Caenorhabditis elegans: one gene and its partners. The protein of the gene in region 1 interacts with the protein of each later gene in a pairwise test. Each region holds a gene or a part of one and is shown on either strand. Other genes may lie near its edges.

What was found. The genes of interacting proteins can lie anywhere in the genome.
Region 2: the proteins of lag-1 (region 1) and csn-5 interact in a two-hybrid assay, tested with the Caenorhabditis elegans proteins (3 studies listed by BioGRID).
Region 3: the proteins of lag-1 (region 1) and glp-1 interact in a two-hybrid assay, tested with the Caenorhabditis elegans proteins (4 studies listed by BioGRID).

The regions. Positions count from the first base shown.
Region 1 is NC_003282.8:6,099,806-6,104,982, forward strand, and holds the start of lag-1 (Suppressor of hairless protein homolog), read left to right. Parts: upstream 1-1,782; intron 1,783-2,911; coding exon of another isoform or gene 2,912-2,977; intron 2,978-3,032; coding exon of another isoform or gene 3,033-3,171; 5' UTR 3,172-4,531; coding exon 4,532-5,177. UniProt on the Caenorhabditis elegans protein: Transcriptional regulator that plays a central role in lin-12/Notch and glp-1/Notch signaling pathways, involved in cell-cell communication that regulate a broad spectrum of cell-fate determinations.
Region 2 is NC_003282.8:5,647,290-5,651,746, reverse strand, and holds csn-5 (COP9 signalosome complex subunit 5), read right to left. Parts: upstream 2,215-4,457; 5' UTR 2,212-2,214; coding exon 2,146-2,211; intron 2,096-2,145; coding exon 1,842-2,095; intron 1,794-1,841; coding exon 1,411-1,793; intron 1,165-1,410; coding exon 761-1,164; 3' UTR 668-760; downstream 1-667. UniProt on the Caenorhabditis elegans protein: Probable protease subunit of the COP9 signalosome complex (CSN), a complex involved in various cellular and developmental processes.
Region 3 is NC_003281.10:9,090,267-9,098,407, reverse strand, and holds the start of glp-1 (glp-1/Notch intracellular domain), read right to left. Parts: upstream 6,168-8,141; 5' UTR 6,096-6,167; coding exon 5,956-6,095; intron 5,096-5,955; coding exon 4,980-5,095; intron 4,340-4,979; coding exon 4,277-4,339; intron 3,758-4,276; coding exon 2,849-3,757; intron 2,549-2,848; coding exon 2,308-2,548; intron 2,003-2,307; coding exon 1,267-2,002; intron 860-1,266; coding exon 387-859; intron 337-386; coding exon 1-336. UniProt on the Caenorhabditis elegans protein: Essential signaling protein which has a major role in germline and embryonic development; involved in cell fate decisions that require cell-cell interactions. Probable membrane-bound receptor for putative ligands lag-2 and apx-1.

The DNA of each region.
Region 1 (5,177 bases):
AACAATTTCGAAATCAAAAAGACCCTACTCTCCAGCTGATTACAATCATCTGATCGATGTCATATTTCTTTTCCCAAAAATAATTTGTCTTGTTTCTCTAATTACTCTTCTCTTATCATCACAATCTCTCACGTTTCTTCTGTCTCACCAATAAAAACGGGGGAATCCCCCTGCAGGTTCAAGTTGATATCATTAGAAACCTGTTTTTCACGCAGTCAATACTCTTTTTTTTCCCTCGATAAATTGATCATTTTCTCGGCTTTGGGCGTGGAAATATTTTCTGCAATAAGATGTGTTGAAAAGTCAGAAAAAAGAAAGTGTTCATCCCGCCCGTTGTCGTAGATCATTTGTTTTATGGCAATTTTCATCATCATTTTGTAACCGTCTTCTTCCTCCTCTTGCGCATCCAATCCACATATCACACAAAAATGTACAATACGAAAAATAGGTCGGTCTCTTCACATTTTCATCACCAAAAAAGTGTTTTTGCAGAGAAAAAAGTGGTGATAAATGTGGAACTTATAACTGTAAACACATTTAAACGAGGGCGGCGAAATTAGATATCAGACATATACGATACAAAAAAAATTAAAAAATCTGTGTGTATTTTGTTTGTAAAAAAATAAAATAATTGCGAGTGCATTTTTTTCAGATTTGAGGATAAATTTTAGAATTCATGGAATTGGAGCATTCGATAGGTCGAAAGGAAAGTATTTTGAGCATTCAATTCGTTATATCAGTTATCCGACTCAAAGCAATTTGTTCTACTTTAGAATTAACGCACTTTTTCGATTCTGAGAAATTTATTCAATTCGAGCTTCTTTCTGTAATCAGATTTTACCGCAATTTTTCAAATCTTTTTTGCTCTTCTTTTCCATATTAGCATTGTTCGTCTCAAAATTTTATTTTTGATTTCGAAGGCTAATTTCTTCTTTCCCAAAAATTCGTACTCATCTATGACCTTTTACAGTATCAAAGAAACATATATGCATTTAAAAATTATTGAAAAAAACTGTTTGAAAATCTCAAAATTTTGTCATTTTCAAACTTAAAACTCGAAGAACATTTGAAAAAAATACAGTATTCGCTTCAAATATAATCGTTTTCATGATCGGATTCTCTCAGAATTTCATCTTCAATCTGAAAATACTAGATTTAAGTGATTCCGTGGATCTTCTATTCTCGTTTCAAAGCTTCACACTCCTGCTTTTTTAGTTGTCCGATCTCTTGTTTCTTACCATATTCCGACATAAAAATCCCGCCGAAACCCATCAAACTTCTTCTTCTCGTATACGAATATAATATGTGTGGGTGCTCCGTTTTGTCGCACAAGTACCGTACCTCTGCTTCCTTACCGATATTCTTTTCTCCGAATCGACGACAAAATTTAATGATCGATTCGGAGGCGGAGGTCGAAGTGGTGGGAATAGAAGTGATAAAACATACGCACACCTCCCGATTTTGTCGATTCTTCGTGTATGTGTCTCCCCGGCAGTTTCATTCTTCTTCCGAGAGCATTATATTCGGAGGTGCTCCCTTTTTGACACGTCCCTCTAATTGTTTAAAAACCTCTTTGGATAATTTCCATGAAGTTTTATTAAAGTTTTAATTTTCAGACTGGGTGAACCCGCACGAAATCTGGATAAGTTTATAGGTAAGTTCGTAATCAATCCATCGAAATTTCAAACAACGTATCATTGAGTTCCAGAAGCAATGTTCCAGTCGGTATCGCCGCTGGCCGGTGTCGCTGCAGCGCCGAGCCAAATTGCCGCACTTCAACAGGTGAGATTTGATTTATTTTGGTAGTAGAAATCATCAGAAAATTCTAAAAATTCGGAAAATATCAAAATTACAGCAATAAATAAAAAATTGAAAGTAAAAATGTCATGTTGCCCAGTTAAAGGGGTATTAAAGTTTACAGTTTTGGTCAAATTAACTAAAACTCGCCCGAAACAACTGAATTTTTTCAATTTTTTCAATTTCATAACGAGACTTTTCAAAAAATTGCCGGTTTTTTTTTTGAGAATTTTCGTTATGAAATTGGTTCGTTTCAGGCCAGCTTTTGTATAGTTCGGCAAAAACTCAAAAAATCTACTCCCCCTTCGAAAAAACTTGACAATAAGTTTCCGATTTTCAAGAAAAAAACGGCGCATGGAGTAGTATTTTTAAAATTAAAACACCTAAAAATGAGAACTGAACTATTCGCTAAAAAGTCGCTGAAACCAGCGGCAAAATATTAAAAATCCCAAATCCCTACGGAAAAATTCAACAATGGGCTCTATTTTGGTCACTTCCAAAAAGTCGAATTTTTTTTTATCATTAGGCCCTTTTTTCCTTCCTTTCATATTATAAGAATATTCATTTTTAGATATGTATTTTGAGTTTTTTGCTTAAATATTCTCAGAAAAAACCGTTTCTCACAAAATTTCTCAAAATCATTTCTAATCGAATCAATCAATTTTCCCAGTCCCCCGAAGCACGAAAAATATTCACAAAAGCCTTTAGTTTTCTCCCATAACATTTCTCGTATTGTCGCTGGGACTCACTTTTCAGATATATAATGTTGAAAATAAACTTGCATCAATATTTCAAGAGAACATTTTCTAAATTTGTATTTCCCAAATAGTTCCTATTTTTGAATTCCTAGTTTTTTATTCATTAAAAAGTTACAAACTGGAAATTTTTCTAAGAATTTTTCAAATTTCAATATTTTGGGCAATTTTAAATTTTATAAACTATAATTATTAGTTATTTGAACTATATTAGAATCTAAAATAATTTAAAATAGACAAAAAAGGCGTACGGAGATGACCTGTAATTTCCCAACGTCTGCATTTATTGATTGTCACCCCATTGTGTTCGAGTTCAAAAATTCGATATTTTTATCAACTTTTGATTTATTTTATTTCAGATACAAGCGTTGATGACATTTCAAATGCAGCAGAATAATTTATTTCCCAAAATTGACACTATATCGGTTAGTTTTCACTAATAAATTCTTATATTTTAAAATGTTATAATATCAATTTCAGAAATCGCCAACTCCAGAACTCGCATCTCCATCGGCAAAACGAATGAGACTTTCTCCCAGTACGAGTAGCCACAGTGATGTCGCATCAACTTCGAAAGGAACAAATGGGCAAGATCAGTCGAAAAATTCGCCGACAAATTGTGAGTTTTGGAAATTTTCAAAATTAAAAAATATGTAAACTTTCAAAATTCATGTTCTAGACCATTTTTTCCCCCCAAAAAAAAGTCGTATCAGATACATTTTTCTGATTTTCCCTTGCAAATGTGTTCTTCCAACTGAAATTTCCCTCAAAATTTTTCCCTTTCCCTTGTTATTTGGGAAACTGAAAACCGCCGAATGGTGAGAGTGTGAGCGCGCGTGTGCTTCTGTTAGCTGCATCGACTGGTGGCTAATTCATAAGCCCACTCTCTTTTCCCGTCGAATTTTCCCACGTCGATCGATAATTTGAGCAGTGCCGACGGCTCAGCTCAGCTCTCCCTAGACTTCTTGTGTGGAGCTCTACGATTTCTTGATTTTCTAATGATTTCTCTCTCGAAGCACGAAAAATTCGAGAATCGCTTGATGGGGAACTTGTTTTCATTATGATTTGGAAATCAACGGAAAACAAAAAGGAAGAGACCGACACAGTTCTGTGAAATAAATATAGAAGTGAATAAAAATATGCATAGTTGTCCATATTCATGTGGGAACTTTTGGTGCTCATCTCTATTTGACAAGAGACCACAAGGAATCGAGTTACGCAGATGGTTCACTTCACACGAATAATGATAGAATGAAATAGATCAAAGACAGAGAGCTATCAAGGAAAAGTACTGTACCTGGTCGACAGGTGCCTGGAGGTACCATCATGCTCTTTGAATTGAGCACACAGTGGACAATGGCCGTAGTGCAATTTAAATGAGGTGTATTAGTCAATAGAGAAGATAGTAAGAAGTTCCCTTTGTAGGTTGACTCGACAGATATGATTTAATTCGGATGTCTCCAAGAATCCAGAAATTCCGATTTTCCATATATCTGAATGTGCACTCTTCCCTATCAGTCATCCCCCGAGAATTTTCCCCAACCAACCAACCCATCGATTTTCACACGAAGATTCACACTCATGAATCACTTGAGATCCTCTTGTCTTATCGTTATCCCATAACTTTCTTGACTCTTCTCGTGTGATGAGAGGCACCACCACCACGACGGAACGCAACAAAGAGATCACCTGTGTATACACATGGTACATCGGGAAGGCAACAAGTGAGGATTAAGATTTAATGTAAATGAGTGAAAGTGAATGAAAGCGACCGTTACTATATTAGGATGGTTCAATTTTGAACGTCTTTGTTTCCAGATGCCACTCAATTAGCGTTCACCTATTCAGTCATGAAATATCCGAAGAGCTCAACGCTCTCTCTCTCTGATTGGATACTCTGACTCCGCCCATCTACCAGTTTGTCTTTCTGTGTGCTTTTCCATCAGAAAAAGCTATAGACTATATGAAGAAGAGAAAGAATGTTTTCGTGGAGGCGTGGCGATTGTGAGTCGCAGAAGGAAGAAAACCGAAGTGAGGAAAGGAAAGGAGAGGAGACTATTCGTTTTCCCACCCGCTCTCCTTTTCATTGTGTGCTCTTCTTGCTGACAGACGGCTTCGTTCTTCACAAACCCACAGCCAGCCCCACCGTCGGTTTTTCCCCCACAATATTCAGCTTCTACTATTCTCGGTGGGAATCTTCGCATCGGATATCCCACGACGAGAGCGGCTTCTGCACCGCGAAGACCCCCCTTCAAGACTCGACTTTCACGCGCCACCCATCCACATCGGTCCCATCGTCGCCCTCAACGCCAAGACACTCCGGGATGGATTATCATCAGTCGTCTTCGGTAGCTTCTTCCGAGTCGACAGCGTCTACAGTAGCCGCGGCGGCGGCTGCTGCAGCTGCTGCATCACTCAATCAGCATCATCATCCACATCTATATTGTGATGATGGACTTCTATCGAGAAGTTTAACTGATATGGTATCATCTGGTGGATATGATAGCTCATCATCTTCTCTAAGTGCAGCTGCATCAATGTGTTATCCGACTCCTGATGCATATTACTATCATGCTCCACCACCACCACCTCCTCCACAAGCACAACAGGGATTCAGTTCAACAG
Region 2 (4,457 bases), 450 kb from region 1:
CATAAAATCTCGGTCGAAACCTTATTAAAGCCACATAATTAAAGATAATTAATTCCGCCACAATAATCGTTTTTTTCTTCTTTGCCGTGTCTCATTTCATTTTGATCTACTCTTTCCTCCCTTCGGATTCTTTGATTTCCCAGTGAAATACCTCACCCACTTCAATCCCCACAAAGTGAGCAACCCCTATCTTGCAACAGTTTTATCATCTCTTCATCATACCCAGTTTGATAATTTATTATCTGATCCCCATCCCCTTGTCGCCTCTCATTAGTATCCTAGTTTTTCATTTGAGCCCGGAGCTCAGACTACATCTCCGAATCATCATACAAATAGATAGAAACGGGTCTCGTGACGAAAGAATACGTGCACCACACGACCCCCCCATCCTGTTCACCCCCATACACCTGAAAAATATGATCTTTACAGTTATTTCTATTATATCCTCAAATCTCTCGTAATATCGTATCAATTTCCTCTTCTTTTTTGTCATTTTCAATTTTTCTCAAATTTCTCAGATCTATTCTTTTTCTTGTATTTTTGGAACTTGTATCCCTCCTCCATCCCCAGACTTCCCCTTCCCAGTTACTCTTGTACATTTTCATATATGTCCATATATCGTTTGAATCTCTCATTTATGGAAATAAATTTGAAAAAATCAATCATTGAAAAGCAAAAATTTCATTCAAATAAAATGATGTTGGTGAATTTAACACAGAAAACAGGGGGACTTGATTTATAAATATAGACAAAACGAGAATTAAGCATCGGCCATCTCAACAGCGGGCTCCGGAGCAGATGGAGAAGGACCAGCCTTCTCGGGTTCAGTTGCCACGGCGATATCCATTGGAGATCCTGCAGAAGCATGGGAACATCCACAGCCACCACCAGCTTGGCGAGCAAACAATAGTTGTTTCACGAGATGAGAGATTCTTCCAGTTTCAAGTTCATCTCCGACTGCCTTTGCATCGGTCACGACTTTCATCAAAGCTTCATGTCCATCGACACTTCTGTCATTCAATTGGAGCTTCTTATCGACGGCCGACAGCTTCTGATTGATGTCTTGAATTTGATTGTTGAGGAATTCGACGTTTGAGAAGAGTGGAGAACTGCTGAGAGTGGAAATCCAATAGCTGTTCCACAGAGAAGTCAAGATGTGAGCGTCTGGAATTTTAATTATTAAAACGGGAAAGAATCGGAGATGTTTCTTTTTCAATTGAGACCAATTTCCCGTTGAGATGTTTAATATTATTATTCTTATTTTAAAAGTTTAAAATTTCAAGCTATTCGATTCCAATAAGTTTAAACAATCCAAAAAACAAAGCTTTGAATATTGGATTTTACAGTTGATTGTCCTTTATCGTATTTTTATTATGTAATTCATTCCCGATAAATATAAATTTCACCTACCAAGTTGTGATTTGAAGAAGCTGACGTCAAGCGAGTAGTATCGTTTGCAATGTACACCGAAATCCTCAATCTTTGCGAGAGGAATCGACTGATACTCTGATGGAACATCATCTGGTGGACGGTATCCTTCTGGATATGTACGGAATGCGCCAATGTCAACCTTTCCGGCAGACATAGTTCTCAATGGATCAATAACAATAGCAACCCATGGCTCTTGGAACTTTTGATTGAGTGTCTGCGTTGAGACGTCGATTCCGGATAGCCAGCATCCATATCCAGGATGAGAATGATACCATCCGACGACTTTCTCCTTTCGACCTTCCGTATCGCACATTTCAGAATAAACTGTCATGTACTCGTAGGCTTGAGCTTGGGCATTGACTCTGGAAATTTAAAATGTTCGAAATTACTCCCAGCGTAAATCATTTCACCTGGTCTCAGTACCCTCAACTGGAAGAGCGAATACATCAAGAATAATGAAAGAATTAGCATCGATTCGACCTTGCAAAAGTCCCATAATTTCCAGATTTCCACCTCTTTTCGCGTGCATTGTCATTTTCAGAAGAGCAATTGCAGATATTTTGATTTGTTTGAAATAATGTGGATCTTTATCCCATGGTTTTGCATTTCTGATTTCTACTTGCTGCTTGTTGTTGTACTCGAAAATCGAATCGACATTTTGGACCTGAAACACAAATAATATTAAAAATCTAAAAATATTTAAGAAAAACTGACGTTATTTTCTTTTTCCCAGTTTCTCTGCGGAACTGAGCTGGATGGCTTGACGTTATCAACTTCCATCGTCTGAAAAAAGCATTACCTTGCTAATATTATTAAGAAATACAATCAATAAGACGATAAGGGCATGAAAAATGATAATGAGATGATTTTACATGAAGAATTGAAACAAATTAAGTAATTCTCAGATTATAATTTTTTTAAATCGATTGAAACCAACAAAAACTAAAAAAAATCTGAAATTTGAAATGAGAAAATATCTGTTGTTATTCTAACAACGACACTCCAACTTTCCGTTGGTGCGCGTTGTTTACCGTAAACCGACACCAAGCGGATGTACTACAATTGGAAGACTTGATTTCATAGAAGAACAAATAAATAGGAGAAATGTATTAAAAATGATTATGGCGGAATAAGATATTTAAGTTTTAAATGTCCTAAAGACTGGTTATCCAGCTTGTTGCATTGTGGATCCCTTTTAGAGAAGTTGGCATTCCAGTTCAAAGGTTTTTGCTCAATTCCAGAAACATATCATCAATCTGGTGTAGTCTAGAATGTATACTACAAAATACTGAACCTCATCAATGACCCTTAAATCTTCCAGAAGAATATTCATGAATACTTGCTACTGCAAGCAAAAAGTTTTATAAAAGCCACAAGCTGAGCAAGAAAACATTTCGCAGAAAAAATGTTATCCGCAATTTTCCTGATTATCAACTCGTTGGTGACTGTTTCAGGATATTGTGTTAATTTATTCCTCCTCCACGTGGCAATATTTCATAGTCCGTCTATTATAAGAACATTCTCAATTGTCATTATTAACATGGCATTCACTAATTTTGGAGCATGTCTTAGTGGATTTCTGATTGGACAACGAGTTATTCCAGCTGGGAAACAATTATTTTATATTTCCTATGGAATTTGCTCAAATTTAGGAGAACAGTTTTGTTTTGATATGTGAGTTTGACGTGGAAAAAAAAATGAATGTCAATGGAAAAATGTTCCCGTTTCAAGAAGTTTTTGAAACAGAAGAAATTTGAAAAACAATTATATGTAGGTAGATCAAATTGTTACTGCCCTATTTTTATATTTATCTTAACATTATTTAAACGAGGTTTGGACGGGTTTAGTAAGATGAAAAATTTTTTAAATGGGAGAGGGCTAAATTTAAAAAAAATTAAGTCTTGAACTATAGAAAAACAATAAAAATGGATCATTGTCAAAAGGAATTTTTAAAAATCCTTTAAATCGATGAAAAAAATTAAAATCTAAACATACACTTAAGAAATGTATAGAGTGTTTAAAAATTTCAGTCAGAGTTTCGGCAAATTGCCAAATTTTTTTTGCGAAACTTTTCCCTTTTTGAGAAATTTCATGGATCTCTGCAGGTTTGAAATTTTAGAATTTATAAAATTAATTAATAATTTCGAAAACTCAAAGAAAAATTTATTTTTGGTAAACATCCAAAATTACGATTGCTGAAGCCTAGGACATCAATTAAAAATTAGTTCCAAAAAGTTTTTGAAAAATTTAACTAAAAGCAGTTTGAAATATTTTTCCATTATAGTATATATTTTTCCACATATTTTAGCAAATTAAATCCATCGAAATTAATAAAAAAAAGGTTTCCCCAACAAAGATAGTTTAAAAAAACAGTCTCCACCCACTTATAGGCTCTCTTATGCGCCTGAATCAAACTTTTTTCTTGCATAGGTTTCAATGACAGAATACTCCAATTTTTTAAATCTCCAAAAAAACTTTTTCCAGATTCGGAGCCCTTCTACATTTCCACACTCATGCTCTTTGTCTCATTTTTCTATCTTTTGCATACCGTTTTTATGTGATGAAACATCAAGAGATCTCCCGATGTATTCTTCAAGTTCTCATATTTCTCATCTACATTCCATCATTTATACAATTAATTGCAATGCTCTTTTTTCAAGATACCAATTTTGCAGAAATTCGAATTTTATTCATAGAATCTCTTCCACAACACAACATAACAGATCTTACTGTAACTGGAGCTGTGGATATATTTCAATTCAGTACACCTATTACAATTGGAATTCGTGTTTTAGAAAGGAAAATATTGAAATTATTGATGTTAAGAAGAGTGGATTTGTCACAGAAAACGAGAAACTTTGCACGCTCAATTACTCCGGGTTAGTGTTTCGGAAAACTACATAGAATTCTAAAACTTAGTTTTGAAAAATATCAAAGAAAACTAATTTATTTCTAAAAAACAATTAGAATGCTCAATATTCTTATTATTTCGACATTCATTACAATTGCAGATAAAAAATCTCACT
Region 3 (8,141 bases), on another chromosome or scaffold:
TTGACAACAGCCTCATGAAGGGCACTTCGCTCCGAATTATTGAATATTGTTGGATTAGCTCCTTCACGAAGAAGCACTACGGAAAGTCTGACACGGTGTGCACGAACAGCTAGCATCAGAGCAGTATTCTCATCACAATCTCTTGCATTCACATCGGCTCCAGCCTTCAAGCATCGAATTGCCTCTGTTGTAATGACATCTTCCGGTTTTCCTCTGACATTGGCAGCAAGCCAGTGCAGAACTCGTCGTCTATACTTTGAATCCACTTGATTGACTGACTCATTTGTGATTGGAGCTGTAATCGCATCTGGTCCTGCAGCTTGAACATGGAGAGGGCTGAAAGAAACATAACAATAATTATAATAAAACTATAAAGATTCACTCACATTTCGTCGGCTGGTAGATCAGCTGGTGCGAACGTCTCAGATTGAAAGTCAAAGTTCAATTCGTTGTAATCACCGGGATATCCATTTGCGAGAGTTTGTGGATAAATCTGTGAATATTGTTCTCCATTGTAGCCGGTACTATAATCGCTACAGTGTCTCTTGGTATTGGGGTGATAGTAGGCAGAATTGTCAAGAAGAGAGCACTGACTCGAATGATTTGACTGATTCCGACGACCTTTCTCGTTCGTTGATTCCATCGGAGGCATCCAGACTGTTGCGTTCACCATTTTTCTTTTTCTACTTCTTTCTGGACCATTCTTTGCGATAACACCAGCGACAACAGTTCCAAAAGCCAAAAATGCAATACATGCAAACAGAATAACTTGACTGCGAGACCATCCTTCATCGATTTCGTTTCTCTTTGGAACAGCTACCATTGCTTCCGTAATTGGGAGACCCAGAGACATACGACCCTGAAAATGTTTTAATTATTATTTTCCATAACTCAAACAATTAAAGGTTCACCGCTTTTTGGCTCGAAATATACTATAAAATTTTTCTAATTTTTAAAAATTATATTTGGTCATTTTATCACCATAAAAATAGATTTTAAGCCCCACCAGTGCTGGGACTTTTTGATATTTTGACGAAAAATTGTTTTTTTGGTTTTGGATTCAAAAACTAATTTTCTGTACTTCAAACATTTTTTTATGTTTTACAAATATTTTTAGCAAAACGCGGATGATTTTCTTCTAAAAAGTGAAAAGTGAACCGGAAATCTACCTTTTTGGATTTTTCACAAATTTAATTTTTTTTGTTATTTCGGTCCAAATTATTTTGTTTCCAGCCCGGTGCCGTACTCCACATAAAAATAACTTACATCAGACTTCACAAGTCCAGCAGCAATCAAATCAACGACACTTTGCGCTGTTGAAAATCGGCAAAACTCGGGTTTACATATTTCTTCGACTTCCAAATACAAGACAATTCCAGTGACAACAGCTTGCCGATACCTGCGAACGTGATGCGAAAGTACAAATTGATCTTCGAGCTTGCTACTATTCATCTCAACTCTTTCCATTTCATGTTCACCATCCCATCTGAATACAAGAGGTCCAAGTTCATCCCGTTGAATACGTACGGTTGCTCGAAGATTTGCACTGATTTGCATTAGTGTTTCTCCTCCGGTAGCTTGGAATTCAATAGGATCAATTTGAACTTTTATACGAATATCACTGAGGATTATTGCTTCTGTTCCGTTATTGCAATCTCCACCGTCAAAACCACATCCAATGAAACTGCATTCTAAATTACAAACTCCATCGCCTCGTCTTTCAATACAATGTTTCCGAATATGAGCTGGGCATCGAAATAACTCTGATTGACAGTCCAATCCATCGTAAAGACATTCTTCATTATTGCATTCCTGATTACAGACTCCATTTGCGAATTGATCAGCACATCTTGCAGGGTATTGACATTTGGAGAATGGTCTTTGCCCTCCTGAGCAATCACCTCCATCAAAATTACATTCTTCCAAATTGCATTCCGGGTTGCAAATACCATTGGAAGCAAGATCCATACACTTTCGTTGCTCGCATAGATCACGAATGACACTGAAATGTTCACATTTAATACCTTGAATACAAATTTTGAAGGAATTTTATCTTCATCGTCATTATACTCCAAGTGGCTCAAAAAAATAATTCCAAATAAATCATGGCAGTTCAAATCTTGGAAAAAGACAGCCTTATTTTAGCTAAAGAAATTTTATTTAACACCTTCCCCGTGTCACACAAACCGAAGCTGGCAAAATTAGAGATTTGAGCTAAAATTAGGTATTTATTTCATTGAAACCGCTTTTTACTTCAATAAATTATTTTTCTGGGCTGCATTCTTTATAGTATCCAAGAAAACTAACGTCTCTTTTGATTTCTCGATAACTAGAACTTCTTCACAAGTGGGTCCAGTGTATCCATATTGGCATTCGCAATATCCAGTATTCTTACAAACTCCTCCGTTCTTGCATGGATGTCTGGAGCATAACTGTCTATCCTTTATTTCGCAGTAATCTCCAGAGAATCCGTTGGGGCAGTTACATCTGATAACGCCATTCACACCTTCACAAGTACCTCCGTTAGCACATGTAGTTGGAGTGCACACTGAAGTTTGTTGATATTAAGAATGCTGCCTAGTAATCTTGAGCTAAAAATACGGTATCAGGTCTCGCCACGACAAAAATTTTGTTAAATGCGAAAAAATGTGCGCTCCTAAAGAGTACTGTAGTTTAAAAACTCTCCTTGCTCCGGGATTGCCATTGATTTTTCAAAATTTAAGTCTGTGTAGTCTATGTAGATTTGATGTTAAAAAGCTGAAAAATTGATGAAAATTTCACCGTTTGAAACTACAGTACTCTTTAAAGGCGCGTTTGTCGTATATAAAAATAAAATTTTCGAACTTACACAAATGTTGCTCGCAGTTCAATCCATAGAATCCAAGCGGACAATGACATGAATATCCACTGTTTTTGAGATCGATACAAGTCGCATTATTCACACACGGATTGTATTTGCATGACTGAATATCTGGGAACTTGAAATCTTTCCTATTAATCTCACATCGATCTCCAATATAATCAGGTTCACAGACACAGAAACCATTTATACATCTTCCATCGTTGTAACACGTTCCATTGCTCCGAGAGCAGTGTGGTCTCTGTAGTGGAAGATCACAATGAATTCCCCCGAATCCTGAAGGACACTCAATCTCACATCGTTGTCCAGTGAATCCTTGTTCGCAATAACAAATTGGCATCTGATTCGAGTCATGGGCACAGTATCCATCATTTTGGCAAACGTAATCCTTGCACATGTCGATAGCCTCCTCGCAATACTTTCCAGCGTATCCAGGTTTACAGGTACAAGTAAAATCACCGTGCAAATTGAAACATGTAGAGTTGTTAACACACGTTTCTTCGATGAGGCATTCGTTTTTATCCTTATTGCAAAATTCTCCCTCGTATCCCGAGTCGCATACACATCTGAAGTTCTTGTCTTCATCTCTGTTCGGAATACATCTTCCATGATTGCAAATGTTTCCCATCAAAGCACATTCAGTTCGTTCACAATATCGACCGGATTTTCCAATTGGGCAATCACAGTAATAGTTGTATACACTATTGACACACGTTGAACCTTCTGCGCATTCATTTTGAGCACAATGATCGATTCCTTCTTCACAATACGATCCTCCATATCCATTGTTGCATATGCACTGAAATCCACCATAGAATGGATAGCAGAGTCCGTTGTTGCAAGGATCCGAATCGCATGGATTTACTCCCGAAAATAGAGGAGTTTTGCAGTCAGGACCTGAAAATATTAATGTATTAATCACGGATAGGCCTTTGTCTTCTTTTTAAAAAAAGTGGAATTTAAATTCAAATTCCGGCGGAAGTTTGTTTTTCCTAATAGCCATTCACACCTCATTACCCCCAACCGCCGATTATTTCCTTTGAGATGAGAAAGGTGTCAATCTCATTACGGTAAAATAGAGAAAAAGAACACGCAATATTTTGATTTATTTGAGATCAAATCGGTTCCGACAACAGATGGAAAAAGTTATCACAGTGGGAGACTTGGATCTCGCGCATTTCTTATTAGAATATGTTAAATTAAATTAAATATATTTAATTTATTTTTTACTATATTTTTTAAAATCTGATAATTTCATTGGTCCTTTGTGTTTTCGAAAAATATAAAATTGAAAAAAAAACAATTTTGCAACTTTTTAAAAATTAAAATAGCTGTCAATTGTTGCTCAAAACAACAATAATTGTGATACAAAGTCATTGACTATTAGTAATCATACATTATCCAAACTTTACTCACCTCCATAGCCTTCTTCACAGCCTTTTTGAGTACGTTCTGTTGGAGGAGTCTCGTCTTCGCAATCTGAATAATAAAACTTATAAATATTTTCTCATGGCTGTCTGTGTAACAACATCTGCTTGATTTATACTACTGCCCCCGCGCAATGAAACCGAACATTTGCAATAAATCGCATGACAAAGGCGATGAAGATGTGCGAATATGACCTAGTAGAAGCTATCTATCACTAGCGGTCATTTTGAGAGCGTAGAAATGAAAAATAGGATACCACGAATGCGGTACAATTTGTCAATGTTGGGATCTCCCGGGAGAATTATTATACGTATGGTCGCGTGTTTTCCCTAATAAGTTTTCGAAATTTTGATATATCCTGAAACAAAAAATTGCGTACAAGTCGGGCACAATCAAAGAAAAATACACTCGCAGTGTGATGATGGATGATGTGGTGAAAAAGATTGCCGCTATGAAAAAGGGCAGATGAAGAAAAAGGTGGAAGTAAAACATGGAACAAAATTTTGAATTTGAAACGTTTAAAATCTTAAAATGATTGATTAGAATACACTTGAATCGAGATAAAGTATTTATCAAACTATGCAAAAAGGCGATAATTTGATTTAAAGATTTGAGAAGTCCCATTATGAAAATAGGTCGTTTCGGGCAAAATATTATGATATTTAACAGATTTTAGGATTCACAAAATTACCTTGACAGATACACGTCGGATTTTCACCATAAACATCGTAGATGCACTTCTCGCCTCGTTTACAATCCAAATCGCATTCACGTTCACAGAAAGCACCTCCGAATCCTTTTTTGCAACTGTAAATTTGATTAAATTATTTTTAAACTGAAAAGTAATTCAATTGAGACAATTTATGACTGTGGGCCAGTGGTGGGTGACAATCAATAAATTACAGTATTTTTAATCAAAAATCGTGGCAAAATATATCGATTTACTTGAAAATAACAATTTTTCAGCTGATATATTCGTGAAAGTGATCAGAAAACAAATCTCGATAATTCACTCAACAACTTTCAGACAATTTTGGACCATTTTCTCACATTTTTAAGCTGAAATAAGTGTTATTTTCAGATAAATCGAGCGATTTTATGTATTTTAGAGCATCATGGCGCAATTTTCCTATCGATAAATACGTTGATACTCTCTGTATAACTAATCAAACGAGCTAGATAGTAATAAGAAAAGACAAGATTAAAGAACCGACACGCTAATCCAATTGTTTTATGAACGTCCATATAAATTCGCCGACAACCCTGGGAAGATGGCTGTAAACGGCTGTAAATTTTGCCTTTGGAACTCAAAGTTATTGATAAGAAAAATGAATTGTTTGTAGAGAAAAGGGAAAACTAAATAACAATTTTTTAGATTTCCCGAACGATTTACGAGATTTTACATTGTGACAGCCTCCTGCTGTTCATTGTGTTCCCATTCTGCAAGCCGGGTGGCGTTTAATGATGTCTTAGAGGGAAATATGGACAGTGATAATTCAACTTTCGGATATTATTCAAAATGTTCTCTACACCAAGCTTTTGTTTATCTATCGCCTGTTTCCCACCACCACCACCTGCCCAAACTTTCTTTTTTTTGTTCTTTTCGTCACGGTTCATGAGAAAGCGGATGAATAACATTGACATGGGAGAATGAAATATATGCTTACCGGCACCAGTATGTCTCAATCAGTTTTCCATTATAGCATTTTCCATTGACGGAGCAAGCACCTTCCCTTCCGCATTCTCCACCCATAAGTTGACTGGCGATTGGCGCAAAAAACGCGAGTAAAATTAGAAGAACTCGCATTGTTGTGTTCGCTGTTCGAGATTCTGTTATTATTAGTTGTTAGAGCAGCTCTTGGTGTTATTGTACATGAATCTGAAAGAAAATATGAATTAAATCAAGAGATGCGGTTAAGCGAAAAAAAAGAACACTTCAGCATTATCACAAAAGTACAAAAAAAGAACGGAGAACAGGAAAAAAACGAAAATGGAGAAGACAAGGAGCGACGAATGAAGGCCGGGTGGCATACTCCGCCCATTTTCTGAGTGTGTTGCGATTGTCTTGACACCTGAGATGGGCGGTCCAAAAAGAAGGATAACAGTACTTTTTTCGAATAGGAACACTAGAAAAAGAACTGTTAGGATAAATCGGAAAACTCATTGATTACATTATTTTATTGCCTATCCGACAGCTGCATGTTGGTTGCGAAATGTGGAGAAAACAACCAATTTATGGCCTTTCAATTGATCATTCCCGTGAAGAAGAAGTGGGGAAAACGATTTACATAAGAAAGTGAACGAAAAACTTTGTTAGAACGATAAACGGAGATTTGTTTGCAATGATTTACTTGGAACCTATTTTACGCCGTTTTCAAGCGATGAATATTCCGAAAATAATGTGATGGAGCTAAATAAACTTATTACGATCTCATTTAAAATATTAGAAATACAGAAAAATGTTCTTATCGTGTCAAAAAAAGAAAAAAAAACAAAGAAAATCATTTTAAAACTCAAAATAAATTTTGGCGCCGTGCACAGCTCGGAAGTCCGCAATTGACGACCGTACCCCTTCGCTTACCGTAGTTCTGATATTTGCTTATCTTTTTTAAATATTATTCTCAAAAACACACACAAAACTTATCTGAAGATTAAAAATACGAAAAACTGTATTCATGTTTGAATAGAAAAAAATCTACAGTATGTCTGTAAACATTATTTCAATATTCAGTCAATTCTGGAATAAACAAATTTGCTCTGCTTCTGGAAATGTTTATACAAAGAAAAAGCGTTATTGTCGGCATACAATACGGAATATAAAGGAAAACGGAAAAAGAAAACCGAAGTGCTAAATCGATAGTGATCACATAGGCGGTTTCAGAATAATCCACGTTTTCGTGCAGCAAGTCGTCCATTGTTCTCGAATTTGAACCTTCCTAAATCAGTCCGTGTTCTAATTTCCCGTACCTGGCCACATATGAACACAAATTATATTGGTAGAACATATGGAAACAAGGTACACGTGTAGTTATTGTCCGATAAAATGATAGTTTTATGACTCATAGGAAATTTGAATCTAGGAAGATTCCACGCAAAACTGTTGGTCAGATGCAATTTTTCACGATTTTTCGAAAAGATGTGCGCCTTTATGGAGTACAGTAATCCATTTCGCAATTTTCTTTGAGTTTTTCACTATATTTCTCTCGTTCACAAAGATTTTGATGGATTATATTAAATTTCTCGTTTTTGGGAGAAAAAAGTAAAAATCAAAGGCAATTTCAAAAAAAAAACCGGAAAATGGTTACTGTGCTTCTTAAAGGCGCACACCTTTCCGTCAATTTAAAATATTATGTTCGTGGCGAGATACGGGGCATACCGTATTTCTGCGTGGGAAATTGCAAAATTTTGTCAAAAAAAAATTTCTTCCAAAATAAGTTGAAAACTCTCACTGGACCGGACGTACAAAACTACATGTTTCTCCCAAAACATTGTTAATGTTGTTTCTCATACTCGAGGTTACCTAGGTATTCAAAACATTTGTACTGAAGAAAAAACATTCAGCATTCGGAAGATAAACTATAAGGTCATGTGAGAAAAGAGAAAAAGTATTGGGGATTCTGAATGTTTCCATAAAATGGGTTTTGTACAGCACAAGGAGTTAGGATTAATTTTACAACTTTAATTGAATTTTTAAGCAGTTGTGGATATTTTCAAATTCTTAAGTTTTCTGATTTATACCTTTTACTTATACGGAACTTGCTAGAATTAGCCAGGTGGCTGAAAATTTTGGTACCACCTTATAAGGTCCTAATGCCTAAAAGATAAATGAAGAGTTGCTGAGAGTAATTGGTGT